Linked DNA regions of Yarrowia lipolytica. The protein of the gene in region 1 interacts with the protein of each later gene in a pairwise test. Links are inferred from orthologs where the notes say so. Each region holds a gene or a part of one and is shown on either strand. Other genes may lie near its edges.

Region 1 (4,510 bases):
CTCAAAGAGCCCGGATGTGGATACAGATGCAAATTTCGCATTGTCCTCGTACATGTCTTCACAGCTATGCCTCGAATATGACTGCCATGGCTCGGATCAGGCCCGTCTCGTCCAAAAAAATAGCCTCACTGATAACCTTTTGGGTTGAATGAAAAAAGGTGATGTGTTTCCAAATTGGGATCCGTGCCAATAGACCTGAGACAGCCAACGAGGAGGCATTCGAGATGCTGGACGGCTCGGGGTGCAAATAGTTTCCCCTACGTCCTCCACACCGTCTACAGACAAGTCCCGCGTACCTCCAACAGCTCCTCATTCGTTCTCGCCGCTCTTCACTTGCAGTTTGAAAAGTGAGACATGGGGAGCCGCAGACCGCATTTTGATACAGACAAGAGACGGCGGCCGGTTTTTCGCTCAGAGTAGCTAGTGGTTGAAGTCGAGTAGGTTCCGTGGGTTTCAGGTCGGTGAGGAGACAGACGGTCAGATGCGGCAGTTTTTGTCTTGGTTCTAGTACGAGTACTTATATCGCACAGGTGACACCGTCAGATCCGTCTTGTTGATGGGACGATATCTTGTACCCATCTTCAGACAGGCTCCGCTTCTGACTGGGTGGTGCAAGGTTGGAGAGGTGACGTCACTTTTGATTCAAAGTGGGTCGAGACGAAACCAACTTTGGGTTGAATCTAAGTGAGTGATTTGATGTTATATAGGACGCAGTCATGCCATTAATGGCCCGATGGCTTTCTTTTGGCGAGCATGCTCACCATTCGGGTTTCTGGTGCGGTTTCTGTCGTCTCGAAAGCTAAACGCATGTCCAACTAAAGCTAACAAAACTCAACACTACTGTACAATAGAACTTCTACTGTTTCACAACCAGTGCGAGTACGAGTACGTGTGATGTACATTACTCACTGCACGAGTGCTGAAAAAACAGCACATCTCTCTCACTACACGCACCGCTCCCAGCTTAAAAAAACACATTCAACACCTACAGTATCGTACACACTGTACATACATGACCGAAGCAGATGGTATTCTGCAGTGCTTCAATGCACGTCCGTTAGCATGGCTGAGCCGAGGTTGAGGGACTGACAATGAGGTTAGGATTGGTGCGAGTAGAGAGAGAAGCCGTTATGTGCCCGTTATGTACACGTTTCTGTACACGTTTCGTGAAGTAAATAGATCTTTACTTGTGTGTGTATAAGTGCCCAAGTTATTGAGCCCAAGCTTCTCAGTACAGTAGGTACTTGCACGAAAGACCAATCATAACTGGGTTGAACTGCTCCATACCACTCCACACGTGCGTTGTCAAGAGGAGTATAACGACAGAGGGGTTGTGACGTTTGGTTGTTAAGAATATAAATACACCAACGTCCGACACTAAACCATCACTTCCTCGAGCCACGGGGACATCTACATCTCAAAATCAAGGCGGTTTGGGATGCTTGAGAGTCTAACCTTGGGAAACAGTGAGATGAGATTGATTAGGAGTTTGAGATGGAAGCACTTCTGGGAGACTAGAGAGTGATTGAAGTGTGTTTTTTTGTTCTTCTCTCTTAGTAACACAGAAACCACCCTACAAGCACGACATTTTGTTTTATACAAGTACTGTACGTGATGACCGCGTACAGTCCGGACCCGGTCTAATTTTCAGGCACCCCCTCAATGTGTGAACCCAATCAACAGTGGGAGACACACCCACTCCCACATCTTACAGTATAAATAGGGCAAGTCAAGTTTGAGCGACAGCTTTGGTTTACTGTGCTAGTGATCTCGATACCAAAAAGAGTACGCATCCGCTTCCTACACTCCGACAGCACGACAAGTGACCTACGCCACCGCCACCACCAATCCACACTGCGATACCAGATTGCACTCCCCTAACCCACTCACACACCTAACTTTTTCTCACTCATTCCCCCACCCAAAGTAATGTCTTCGATCCAGACTCAGCTCAACAGGTTCATTTCGCAACCTCTCCGAGTCGCCGTGAAGCCAGATAGCGACAGCAGCCCCGAAGACGACCAGCGCACCTTTTTCGGCCGCCTCATCACCATCGACAACGAGGCCAATCTCATTCTCACTGACACCAGCGAGGTTCGCAGCAGAAAAGGAGTTCGTACCCATCAGCGGTACGTTGGAATGGTAGTTGTCAAGGGCGACGACATTGAATCTGTTGGAATTGCTTGTTAAGTCAACCGAAACACAAGCACTGACACTCAATCACACTCACCTACTCTACACACTCTAGTACACAAATCACATCTTTACACATGTTGGGATTCAAAACACAGGGATTCAACGGCTACGCGGCCAACTACTCGCCGTTTTTCAACGACAAGATTGCGGTCGGAACGGCGGCCAACTACGGGCTGGTCGGAAACGGAAAACTCTTCATTCTGGGCATCTCTCCCGAGGGCCGCATGGTCTGCGAAGGCCAGTTTGACACCCAGGACGGCATTTTTGATGTCGCGTGGTCCGAGCAACATGAAAACCACGTGGCAACCGCCTGCGGAGACGGATCAGTCAAGCTGTTCGACATCAAGGCCGGTGCCTTCCCTCTGGTATCGTTCAAGGAGCACACACGGGAAGTCTTCTCTGTCAACTGGAACATGGCCAACAAGGCGCTCTTCTGCACATCTTCATGGGACTCTACAATCAAAATCTGGACGCCGGAACGTACAAACTCCATCATGACCCTTGGCCAGCCTGCTCCGGCCCAGGGAACAAACGCTTCAGCTCACATTGGCCGTCAGACGGCCCCCAACCAGGCAGCAGCCCAGGAGTGCATTTATTCGGCGAAATTCTCGCCTCACACAGACTCGATTATTGCATCCGCACACTCCACAGGAATGGTCAAGGTGTGGGACACTCGAGCACCCCAGCCTCTCCAGCAACAGTTTTCCACGCAGCAAACCGAGTCTGGAGGACCACCAGAGGTTCTGTCGCTGGACTGGAACAAGTACAGACCCACAGTGATTGCCACAGGTGGCGTTGATCGGTCTGTTCAGGTCTACGATATCCGAATGACTCAACCTGCAGCCAACCAACCCGTTCAGCCATTGAGCTTGATTCTGGGCCACAGACTACCCGTCAGAGGAGTTTCGTGGTCACCGCATCATGCCGACTTGCTGCTGTCGTGTTCTTACGACATGACTGCTCGAGTTTGGCGGGACGCTAGCACTGGAGGCAACTATCTGGCTCGACAGCGGGGTGGAACAGAAGTGAAATGCATGGACAGACACACAGAGTTCGTTATTGGCGGCGACTGGTCGTTATGGGGCGATCCTGGATGGATCACCACCGTTGGATGGGACCAGATGGTTTATGTTTGGCATGCGTAAACAATAGAAACAATAGTGCAATGCATGATTAACATGGTAAGTGTTGGAGCAGTATAGTGTTGGAGCAGTATAGTCGGGGGTGTTACAACGTTGTATCTTCCGAGAGTCGAGCTACAATCCAAATGTTCGAGTACTTGTGCCGACCAGAGTGAGGTGTGCTTGTAGGGCTTCCTAGCGAGCTTTTTACTGACAGTGTATGTACGTATGTACTCGTACCATTGTGAGTGGCCATCACGCACTACTAGTAGAAGTACCCAGGGAATATAGTCTTAGTCATTACTATTGTCTCACACGAGTCGACATACGGGGTCTGATTATGTTCTGTCTGGTAGCGCAGGTTGCGTCCTATCTTGTCTCCACGATAGTGACGGAAAAGTAGATACACTCGGTTATTTACAGAAGCTGAAACTGCTGTACTCTTACAAAATGAGATCTTTAGTCTAGATACAGTACATCCCGACGGTTTCACGCTTGTAGATCAATAGTAGCATCCTAACAGGCATGCCTCAGAGGACATACGAGCACCAAAGACTTGGCTGTAGCACTTCTGGACTGTTAATGAGATATGGAACAAACAGGCGTCACTTTGGACTGCCTGGAACAACCAGCGAATATCTTTGACTCCCTCGACCATCACTTCAGACTGTGCTCACCTTGACACACTCTTATCTGGAGTCTCTAACAAGACGACATACAAGTGTTACATTTTGAACCGAGACAATTCTTTAGTTTTCCACAGTTCCTTCCGTCATATGATTATGATCCTTTATGTACTCAATTGAATCAAACACTTTGTCACTCCGAGACCGCCGGAGATCCACGTCCAATCCGTGAAAACATCTCCGTGATATTGCTTTTTCCCTCGAATGTTGACCTAAAAAGCACATCACAGCTCTCCTCCAGCTGAACCATCACATGTCCAAGACACAGTTAAGGTCCCGGGATATTTTACGAGTTGCTGGGGCGAGTCGGTGCTTTTGTCCATTGTCTATCGCCAGGGTTTAGAGCTCAAAAAGCACTTGGATGCTTCGGTAATAATGATTCATGAGACACTGTGAAGCACAAGTGTATCATGCGATTGGGGTAACATCATGGGATGCTACTGGCATGGGAGTTGCACTAAAACTAAGACACTCTCCATACTGTACATGTTTTAGAAGATACTGTAG
Region 2 (4,451 bases), on another chromosome or scaffold:
CTTAGTGAGTCTGCATCTCAGATCTACGCTCTTCTGTGCTCGGTTCCCACTTCGGAACTCAACTTTCTGAAGTCGTTCACTCGACGACTGCTTCTCAAAGACGTGGGGGTGCCTCTGGATCTTGACGAGCTGCTCCCTCGCAAGGAAAAACAGCATTTAGTCATCAGACGAAGCCGTCGGTCGCTGGACAAGACGTCCAAGTCAAGAGATAGCACTGATGGAAAGACGCCCCCCGGCGGCTCTCGAGCGGCCACCCCGACTCCTACAGACTCGTCACGTGCCCAGACGCCTGTGACGGTCGATACCGAGCTCAAGCTCGACTCGTGGCTACGGCTGGTGGAGATTCGGCCCGAGCAGCGGGAACGAATGGAGCAGGAAGAGCTTCAGGAGCTGGTCAACCAACTCAAGACGGCCAACTCCGAGGCCAAGCTGCTGCTCAAGCAATGGGAAGACAAGCTGGCGCTGGGATACAAGAACAAGGAGGCGTTTGAAGCTGTTGTGGAGAACATGGTCGGGTTTGCCCAGAAGCAGAGATTGAAGAAGGGCGGTAAGAAGAAGTGAACAGAGTGCCCCGTGAACGGAGTGAACAGAGGTTGGAATAACGAAAACAACAACTACGACAACGACTACGACAACGACAACGACAACGACAATGACCACGAATCAAATAGACAAATATTTATTGCATACTACACAACTGACGGTTGGAATGTCAGTAGATCTATCCAGGTGCTTGGATTTGCACCAGAAGACCAACAAGTTGGTCAACTGATCGTATGCCTTTAGATATGCTCGTATAGGCACTTGTAGATCCACCAATCTCCCTCAGTTTGTATTCAAAAAGTGCAACCAGTGGGTGCATTTGATTACGTCGCCATCTACGCGTCCAAAACGGTGCAAGGCAGTCGCACCAGTATGTGTGTTTACATATGCAATAAATATCATGTCTAATTAACGGGAACGGCACTGGCGCCAATCTCCTCCACCTTCTTGGGAGCCTCAACCGCAGGCCGAGGAATCACTTCGAGGTAGTTGGCCGGCACGTATCCGCTTCGGCCGTCCCGAGTTCGCACTCGCCACCATTGCGAGGGGTTGCCCATGGGGTCTGTCTTTGCGAGAACCGCCACCAGGTCGCCCTTTCGCAGCTCGAGCTCCAGCTGAGGGTTCTCGGGCACAAAGTCAAAGTTGGCCCGGCAGAACTCCAGCTTGGAAGGGTCGATTTCGGCGCCACCCTCCATACCAGGGCCGCCCATTCCCATCTGGGCACCAGGCAGCAGGTTGCCATGCTCATCGTACATGCCCTCCTGCTTGGCGGCCAGCGCCTTGATCAGCCGACCCAGCAGGTAAGGCAGACCAAAAACGGCCGTCAGGAAGAAGAGCAACGGCTTGTACGAGGGCCGGGGACCTCTTCCGGGACCCGCCGCTCCGCCAGTAGCCTCGAACTTGGCGAAACCGGCAGGAGTGATGCCGTTCGCACCGGTGACAGGCTGGCCAGACAGCTTTGCCACCAGCCGGCGGGCCCACCGCATGATGGCGTAGATGCCGAGCAGCGAGCCGAGGGTGTTTTTCAGGTTGCCAAACTGCTCTGCAACAGAGACCATGGCGAAGAAGGACGACTGGGTCGCCATGTAGGTGGACTCGAGCATCTGCGCGAATCCACCCACGGCTCCAACGATGCTTTCGATCAGCTGGAATGTGGCCTGGGTACCTCCTGCCAGACCGTTCTGACCCATGGGTCCGCCACCCATACCTCCGTATCCTCCGTATCCCCCCATGCCTCCGTACGAGCCGTAGCCTCCATATCGAGAGCCGTACATGCCTCCCATGCCGCCCATTCCTCCGTAAGATCCGTATCCACCGAGTCCCGAGCCGTAGCCGGAGCCATACGACGAACCCATGCCGTATGATGATCCGTAGCCGGAGCCATAAGACGAGCCCATGCCGCCATAGCCCGAGTTCATGCCTCCGTAGCCCGAGTTCATGCTAGAGCCCATAGGCGAGCTCAGGGCGTTGGAGGTAGAGCCCATGGCCGAGGGTCTAGACGGCAGTTCGGGGGCTCCAGTTGCGCTGCCGGCTGAAGACGACACGGCGTCTGTGGAGGCCGGGGTGGCTGTTGCCGCCGGTGTCGCGGTGGCTGCGGAAGAGCCAGAGGCGCCTTCCCATGGTTTTGGTCGTGGCACGCTCATGTTTGCCTTGTGTTGTGTTGTGTTGTGTAGTGTAGTGTTGTGTAGTGTTTTTGAGAGAGAGCTGTGTTTGTGTCGCTTGTGTCGCTGTCGTCGTAGCTGCTGTTTTTGTGTCGCTTGTCTACTGTAACTCGTAGTTTGAAGTGTCCCGTCGTCAGTTATAAAGACTGTGCAAATACAAGGGAGAAAGTTGTGGAGAGATTCGGAGGAGGGTGAACTCAAACGAAAGTGGTAGTTTAGGGTTTATACGTTGGATTTTGACATTGAGAACATTGTAGAACAGATGTCTCCAGAACGAGCTGCAGCGGTCCTAGAGAGAAGCCGGAACCTCTGTTGGGATCACGTGATCTTTATGGGTGATATTTCCGCGTGAAATCCCCCCTTTTCCACCTTCAACGCCTCCAAGAACTCCCTCTTTTCTCTCTACTTTTTCACAAGAGTGGGAAACCTTATTTTCATGCATGTTTTCCCCACGTTTACCTCGGCAAAAATCACGTTGGCGGGGTGCACCGTGTAGGGTAACTAACGGCCGTGCATACACCGAGGCGTTGGTTCGAGGCGCGGTCCAGCACTTTTGGACAGTTGGTGGTTTCTGTGCGAAATCGGGGAACTGGCCAATCAGGGGCGAGTCTTTTTTGCATGTTTCTTTTTCGGAAAATCCGATTTTGCTCTCCAAGCAACCCTAACTTTTTGCCACCAGTTTCAGAAGTTAGCACCGGATTATTTAAAAAAAAATTGAAAAATGGCGAAAAAAAAATGGAAAAAAAAAAACAGAGAAAAAAAAGAAGAAAAAAAAACCGGAAAATCGGAATGAGAGAATGTGAAGACAGTGACGTAGAAGATGGTGAAATACACAAGACGGTGAGGTACAAATTCACCTGAAGTCCCAGTACAAGGGTACACTCGTATTTGCACGTATAGAATTTATTTAATTAATTAATTAATTAATTAATTAATTAGTATGTCGGAGTTCGACTTGTGAATCAATGTACGGGTACAAGTACGAGTACTTGAAGTGATGAATGTCCTAATCTGTACAACCATTCTAGAGACTGTCGCATTCATGGCATCGGGCTCGGATTCTTCCAGCTCCTCCGTGGAGTCAGAAACCGCCATCTCTTCAGCAACATGAGGAGATGAAAGACTACCTGTAGTAATCACTCAAGATCCTGCAAACTGCAAGTTGGATCTAGGAGATTCTCGGCGCAATGTCTTCATCCCAGGCTTAGAGACTGGATCGGTAATCTGGTCTCTACTTGCTCCAAGACGCGTTTACATCCAACTCAAGAGCTAGGACGGAGAGGAATCAAGTTGATACCACTGTTTTGACACTGATATGGTTGCTCTTTTGGTCTTTGGACTCAGAAAACAGGTACTATGACGTCTGTCAACGGTGGAAGGAGAGCCTGGCACCGCATTGAGTTCCATTATCAAGTTCAAGGGTTGGAGCTTGGACGAGGGTCGGACAGGGGTTGGATTCAAATGCGCGAGGCGGTACTGTATGTACTGTACTGGAAGGTGTCAGGTCTCATGTCTCTCGTCTCTTCTACTTGTAGTCTTTCTTCTTCTCATACACGTCTAATACACGTTCCTGTTAATAATCCATTCTATTATAGTCGTAGCAGTTGGAGTCACTTGGGCATCTCGTTCCAATTCACTCAAATCCCCCCAAGTAACGGTCACTGCTTCGCATCTCGCAATGTTGAGCTCGTTAATGACCTCCAGTAGTAGGCAGACCGACCGACAGCTTGAAAGTATCGTAAATGAGCCACTGCATACCGGTCAGGGTACCAATCATGAAGATTCGCACCGGCAGACCGTTCCAAAGACCCTTGAAACCAATTCGCTTGTAGATTCGCTCCACGGTCTGCAGAGTGGACTCGCCGGGCTTCTGCTCACTGTTGACCTTGGAGACCATGACGTCGGCGGGGTGGGAAATGACGGCACACAGAATACCGGCCAGGTAACCTCCGGCAAAGGAGACTCCAATCTGCTGGGCGGTGGAGAAGTCCTTCTTGGGCTTTCCGAGATACTCGTAGATCTTCTCGACAATCTTCTCGAACGAAGCAAACTTGACCATGGTGTAGGGGATCTGTCGGAACCAGAGGGGACCCAGACCCTTCCAGAGACCGCCCAGACCCTCGGAGGCGACAATCTTCTTCCAGCCGTCAATAGGGCCCTTGGCAAAGGGAGGAATGGTGGTCTGGGTTCGCACCTTGATGGCCTCCCAGGGACACAGAAAGATGTCGGCGATAAACTCGGCGGTGG
Region 3 (4,541 bases), on another chromosome or scaffold:
CAGAGACCCCGAATGCTGCAGAAACTGTGGCAACAATCGGCCATAAGAGAAACGCTCAAACCGGCACTGGATCAGCTGAAGACCGAGGTCCAGGAGGTGCTACTGGGCAACAGCAGTCTGGGCGAAGACGAACAAATGAAGCTGATTACACAGACACAAAACGCCCAGCCGGGGATCCTTCTCTCGTCTTACGCCAGCTTCCTAGCCAATCAGGGCGCCAGCAAAAACTACTCCCATCTGCTGGGCCACTCCCTCGGAGAGTACTCGGCTCTGGTGTGTGGAGGCTACCTGACTCTCGAGCAGGGAGTGCAATTGGTCCAGAAGCGGGGCTACTACATGCAACGAGCCAACGACGAGAGTGGCAAGGAAACAGCCATGGTAGCATTGTTGTTGCATCGCACGGTTGACACCAACCGGTTGGTCCAAGCCTGCGAGGGCTGGAACGGAGCCAATGTGGCCAATATCAACAGCAGCGGCCAGGTGGTTCTCAGTGGCGAACGGTCCGCCATCAACGAGCTAGTTGCGCATCTCAAAGCCTCCAAACTGCGGGTTCTGAAGGCAATCCCCCTGAACGTTTCAGCGCCGTTCCATTCCGCCATCATGGCTCCGGTGGTGTCCGAGCTCGATGCGGTTTGTCAGCAGCTCAAGATCCGTCCCGATTTCAGCGCTGACAAGCCGCAGGTGGTATCCAACGCCTCGGGCAAGCCGTTCGGCTCTGCCGACGAGATGTACGAGTCCATGATCGGGTCTCCAGTGCATACAGTCAATTGGCTGGCTAGTGTGGAATACCTAAAACACGTCGGAGTGGTAGAATCGGACGGCTACGGTCCTGGATGTGTCGACATTGGCAAGATGGTGCTGCCAGGAGAGAGATATGACTAAATGGTCTGTCTGGTGAGCAGCTCAGGTGGCCCAAACGTCTCACGTAAGCAGAACCTACTACTGGTTCAGCCGTGAGACATCAGATGACGTTTACCAACGAACGCCGTTGAAACCGTGCTTTGTGTATATCATGTGTGCTCTATAATAGGATTTCGGTTGGAGCGATAACGGAGTTTGGACACCAGAGTTCGCGCATTGCACGATACACCAACGTTTTCACATTATCATGTAAAAAGTGTACATACATACTTTCACAAGATGGTCCAAGTACGATGTAGTGTTGTGCGACGGGTGTGTCTGTGTAATATGTTTGTCCAAATATATATAGGTCGTCAGTAGCCCAAGTTTCTGTTTCCCGACTCTATTTCCTGTCTGGTAGGCTCCTCACCTCCCCGTCACCTCCTCACCACCTCCTGACGTCATGATCGAGACGCTTATCGCCAGTAAAGCCGAACCGAACCGAATCCCCACAATACCCCACAGTGTGCATATCAAACCTACCGGTTGTTGCTCTCTCCAGCCTTACTAAGAAGGAGGCGACGTGGCAGTGGCTCGCGGGAGGATCGGCGGGAAACTCCGGGATATCCGTCGAGAGTTTACACGTGAATGGGCAGCGCAATCCGTTGACGACGATACGACTGGCAAAGTAGCGACGATACCTGCCAGACAGGTGACATGTGCAGGCCGCACTAACAAGGAAACGGGCGCTGGGGGGGCGGGCTTCTAGACTTTGCCCTTGAACAGGAATCTAGTGGGGGCTTGTCTTTCCGCCAATGGGGGAGCGCCTGTTGAGCGACCGTGCATGCTGGAACGCCAAGTGTATGTACAGCTGGTGGTCTCGCAGCGGTATGTGACGGGACTTACATCTCTCGTTTTTTCATGACCACGTTTTCACAGGCTCGGAGGTACGTTAAAGTTTTGAAGGCTGCATCTGAACCGAGGTATGGGGGAGTTTGAAGAGCAACAGTGTTGGGGCTGAGGGGGCCAAGATCGGGGCAAGCAAAGGTCTTAGATCAATTGTGGGGATCCCAAAGGGCCCGTTACCGCCTTCTTCCACCCAATTCGGGTCCCAATTGATCCACTACTGGCTTGCCCAAGTTACCCCAGAAATGCCGCCCCGGATTTCTCCAAAAACCTAATAAGCTTCATGGAACTTGGTGGAAGTGACTTTCTACAGAGTGGAGAGAACCGTGGACACGTGGCAATGGCGCTGACCGTGTCCCCGAGCCGAATCGACGTGAGGGGAGAACGGAGTATCTGCGGTCATGTGACCTTCCAGAGCGGCGTCGCCAGTGTGCACGCGGTGACCCCCAGTTTGGGTCTCTGTCACACGCATACTACCTCGGCTCTCCACATGCTGAACTTTATCTTTCGTGGGGATCATACCGAAAGTTGCAACTACCAGGTGTATATAAAGCCTGGTAGACTCCCCCCACTTTGGACCTCATCCAACCAAGACACACAAAAATGGACCGACTTAACAACCTCGCCACCCAGCTCGAGCAGAACCCCGCCAAGGGCCTCGACGCTATCACCTCCAAGAACCCCGATGACGTTGTCATCACCGCCGCCTACCGAACTGCCCACACCAAGGGAGGCAAGGGTCTGTTCAAGGACACCTCTTCTTCCGAGCTGCTCGCCTCTCTGCTGGAGGGCCTCGTCAAGGAGTCCAAGATCGACCCCAAGCTCATCGGTGATGTCGTCTGCGGAAACGTTCTCGCTGCCGGTGCCGGTGCCACTGAGCACCGAGCTGCCTGCCTTGTTGCCGGCATCCCCGAGACCGTTCCCTTCGTCGCTCTCAACCGACAGTGCTCCTCTGGTCTGATGGCCGTCAACGACGTTGCCAACAAGATCCGAGCCGGCCAGATTGACATTGGTATCGGCTGTGGTGTCGAGTCCATGTCCAACCAGTACGGTCCCAACTCCGTCACCCCCTTCTCCAACAAGTTCCAGAACAACGAGGAGGCTAAGAAGTGCCTGATCCCCATGGGTATCACTTCCGAGAACGTTGCCGCCAAGTACAACGTGTCCCGAAAGGCCCAGGACGCCTTTGCTGCCAAGTCCTACGAGAAGGCCGCCGCTGCCCAGGCCGCCGGCAAGTTCGACCAGGAGATCCTCCCCATCAAGACCACTGTTCTCGATGATGATGACAACGAGAAGGAGGTTACCGTCAACAAGGACGACGGTATCCGACCTGGTGTCACCGCCGAGAAGCTCGGCAAGCTCAAGCCTGCTTTCTCCGCCGAGGGAACCACCCACGCTGGTAACGCCTCTCAGATCTCCGACGGTGCCGGAGCCGTTCTCCTCATGCGACGATCTGTTGCCGAGAAGCTTGGCCAGCCCATCCTTGCCAAGTTTGTCCACTGCAAGACCGTCGGTGTTCCCCCCGAGCTCATGGGAATTGGCCCCGCTTACGCCATTCCTGCTGTCCTTGAGGACCTTGGTCTGACCGTCAACGACGTTGACGTTTTCGAGATCAACGAGGCTTTCGCTTCCCAGGCTCTGTTCTCCATCCAGCATTGTGGAATCGACGAGTCCAAGGTCAACCCCCGAGGTGGTGCCATTGCTATTGGCCACCCTCTGGGAGCCACCGGTGCTCGACAGTTTGCCACTCTGCTCTCCGAGCTTAAGGAGTCTGGCAAGAAGGTCGGTGTCACCTCCATGTGCATTGGTACCGGTATGGGTGCCGCTTCTCTGGTTGTTGCCGAGTAAATGTACATACAAGATTATTTATAGAAATGAATCGCGATCGAACAAAGAGTACGAGTGTACGAGTAGGGGATGATGATAAAAGTGGAAGAAGTTCCGCATCTTTGGATTTATCAACGTGTAGGACGATACTTCCTGTAAAAATGCAATGTCTTTACCATAGGTTCTGCTGTAGATACTTGTACAGTTGCAGACCAGTTGGAGTATAGAATGGTACACTTACCAAAAAGTGTTGATGGTTGTAACTACGATACGGGATCCCCGCTGATATGCCTAAGGAACAATCAAAGAGGAAGATATTAATTCAGAATGCTAGTATACAGTTAGGGATGGTGAGTGTTGGGTGATGCAGGGGAGGTTGTCGAGCGGTTCACTTGAGTGCGTCCCGCTGTTTCATCAAGTGCATTTCAAGAATCCCGTTGGCCATGTGCATTTTGACCTTTTGCGGGTCGATTTTGACCGTTGGCGGAAACCGCACCGTTCTCTGGAAGGAGCCGTTGTGTCGTTCTCCCACCATGAGACAGTCGGACAGATGTGCAAAGGGGTTGGTGTAGTGGCCACTGATGGTCAGGCTGTTGGAGTCTGCGTCGTAGGCGGTTTCCAGGTCCGCCGACCGCACCGCCGGCAGACTTGTCACCACAATGTACATGTTTCCCAGGTCGTAGATGTCGACTGGTGGCGCGAATGGGTCAGTATGGGAGTGTGGGAGAGGAGTAGCTGGTGGCGAGTGGGCCAGGTCTGTTTCGGCATAGTCGGGCATTACAAAGGACATGGGGAGGGCGACGGGAGGCTTTTTGAGGAGTTGAAGAAGAGCTGGGGAAGAAATCAAGTGTCAAGCTTGAAAAAATCGGCTTTTCCATCTCAATTAGTTGCCTACATCGAGCCCATCAGAGTTCATGCACATGCAATGACCTCACAAGACACTGGCATAATTATGGCAGGGCTAATTT

The links. The genes of interacting proteins can lie anywhere in the genome.
Region 2: the proteins of YALI1_F24635g (region 1) and YALI1_C07451g interact in a two-hybrid assay, tested with the Saccharomyces cerevisiae proteins (2 studies listed by BioGRID). The link is inferred for Yarrowia lipolytica from reciprocal best matches to the Saccharomyces cerevisiae genes PEX7 and PEX13.
Region 3: the proteins of YALI1_F24635g (region 1) and YALI1_E22238g interact in binary tests that used the Saccharomyces cerevisiae proteins (3 or more experiments, as listed by UniProt). The link is inferred for Yarrowia lipolytica from reciprocal best matches to the Saccharomyces cerevisiae genes PEX7 and POT1.

The regions. Positions count from the first base shown.
Region 1 is NC_090775.1:2,461,349-2,465,858, reverse strand, and holds YALI1_F24635g (uncharacterized protein), read left to right. Parts: upstream 1-2,270; coding exon 2,271-3,341; downstream 3,342-4,510. Other genes in the region: YALI1_F24649g (uncharacterized protein), read left to right, coding at 734-842, 887-1,089; YALI1_F24615g (uncharacterized protein), read right to left, coding at 4,067-4,181, 4,232-4,326. UniProt on the Saccharomyces cerevisiae protein: Receptor required for the peroxisomal import of proteins containing a C-terminal PTS2-type peroxisomal targeting signal, such as 3-oxoacyl-CoA thiolase. Specifically binds to cargo proteins containing a PTS2 peroxisomal targeting signal in the cytosol.
Region 2 is NC_090772.1:742,871-747,321, reverse strand, and holds YALI1_C07451g (uncharacterized protein), read right to left. Parts: upstream 2,187-4,451; coding exon 948-2,186; downstream 1-947. Other genes in the region: YALI1_C07481g (uncharacterized protein), read left to right, coding at 1-561; YALI1_C07423g (uncharacterized protein), read right to left, coding at 3,895-4,451. UniProt on the Saccharomyces cerevisiae protein: Component of the PEX13-PEX14 docking complex, a translocon channel that specifically mediates the import of peroxisomal cargo proteins bound to PEX5 or PEX21 receptors.
Region 3 is NC_090774.1:2,221,645-2,226,185, reverse strand, and holds YALI1_E22238g (uncharacterized protein), read left to right. Parts: upstream 1-2,349; coding exon 2,350-3,594; downstream 3,595-4,541. Other genes in the region: YALI1_E22262g (uncharacterized protein), read left to right, coding at 1-882; YALI1_E22245g (uncharacterized protein), read right to left, coding at 1,022-1,241, 1,290-1,571, 1,625-1,686; YALI1_E22218g (uncharacterized protein), read right to left, coding at 3,962-4,363. UniProt on the Saccharomyces cerevisiae protein: Responsible for the thiolytic cleavage of straight chain 3-keto fatty acyl-CoAs (3-oxoacyl-CoAs).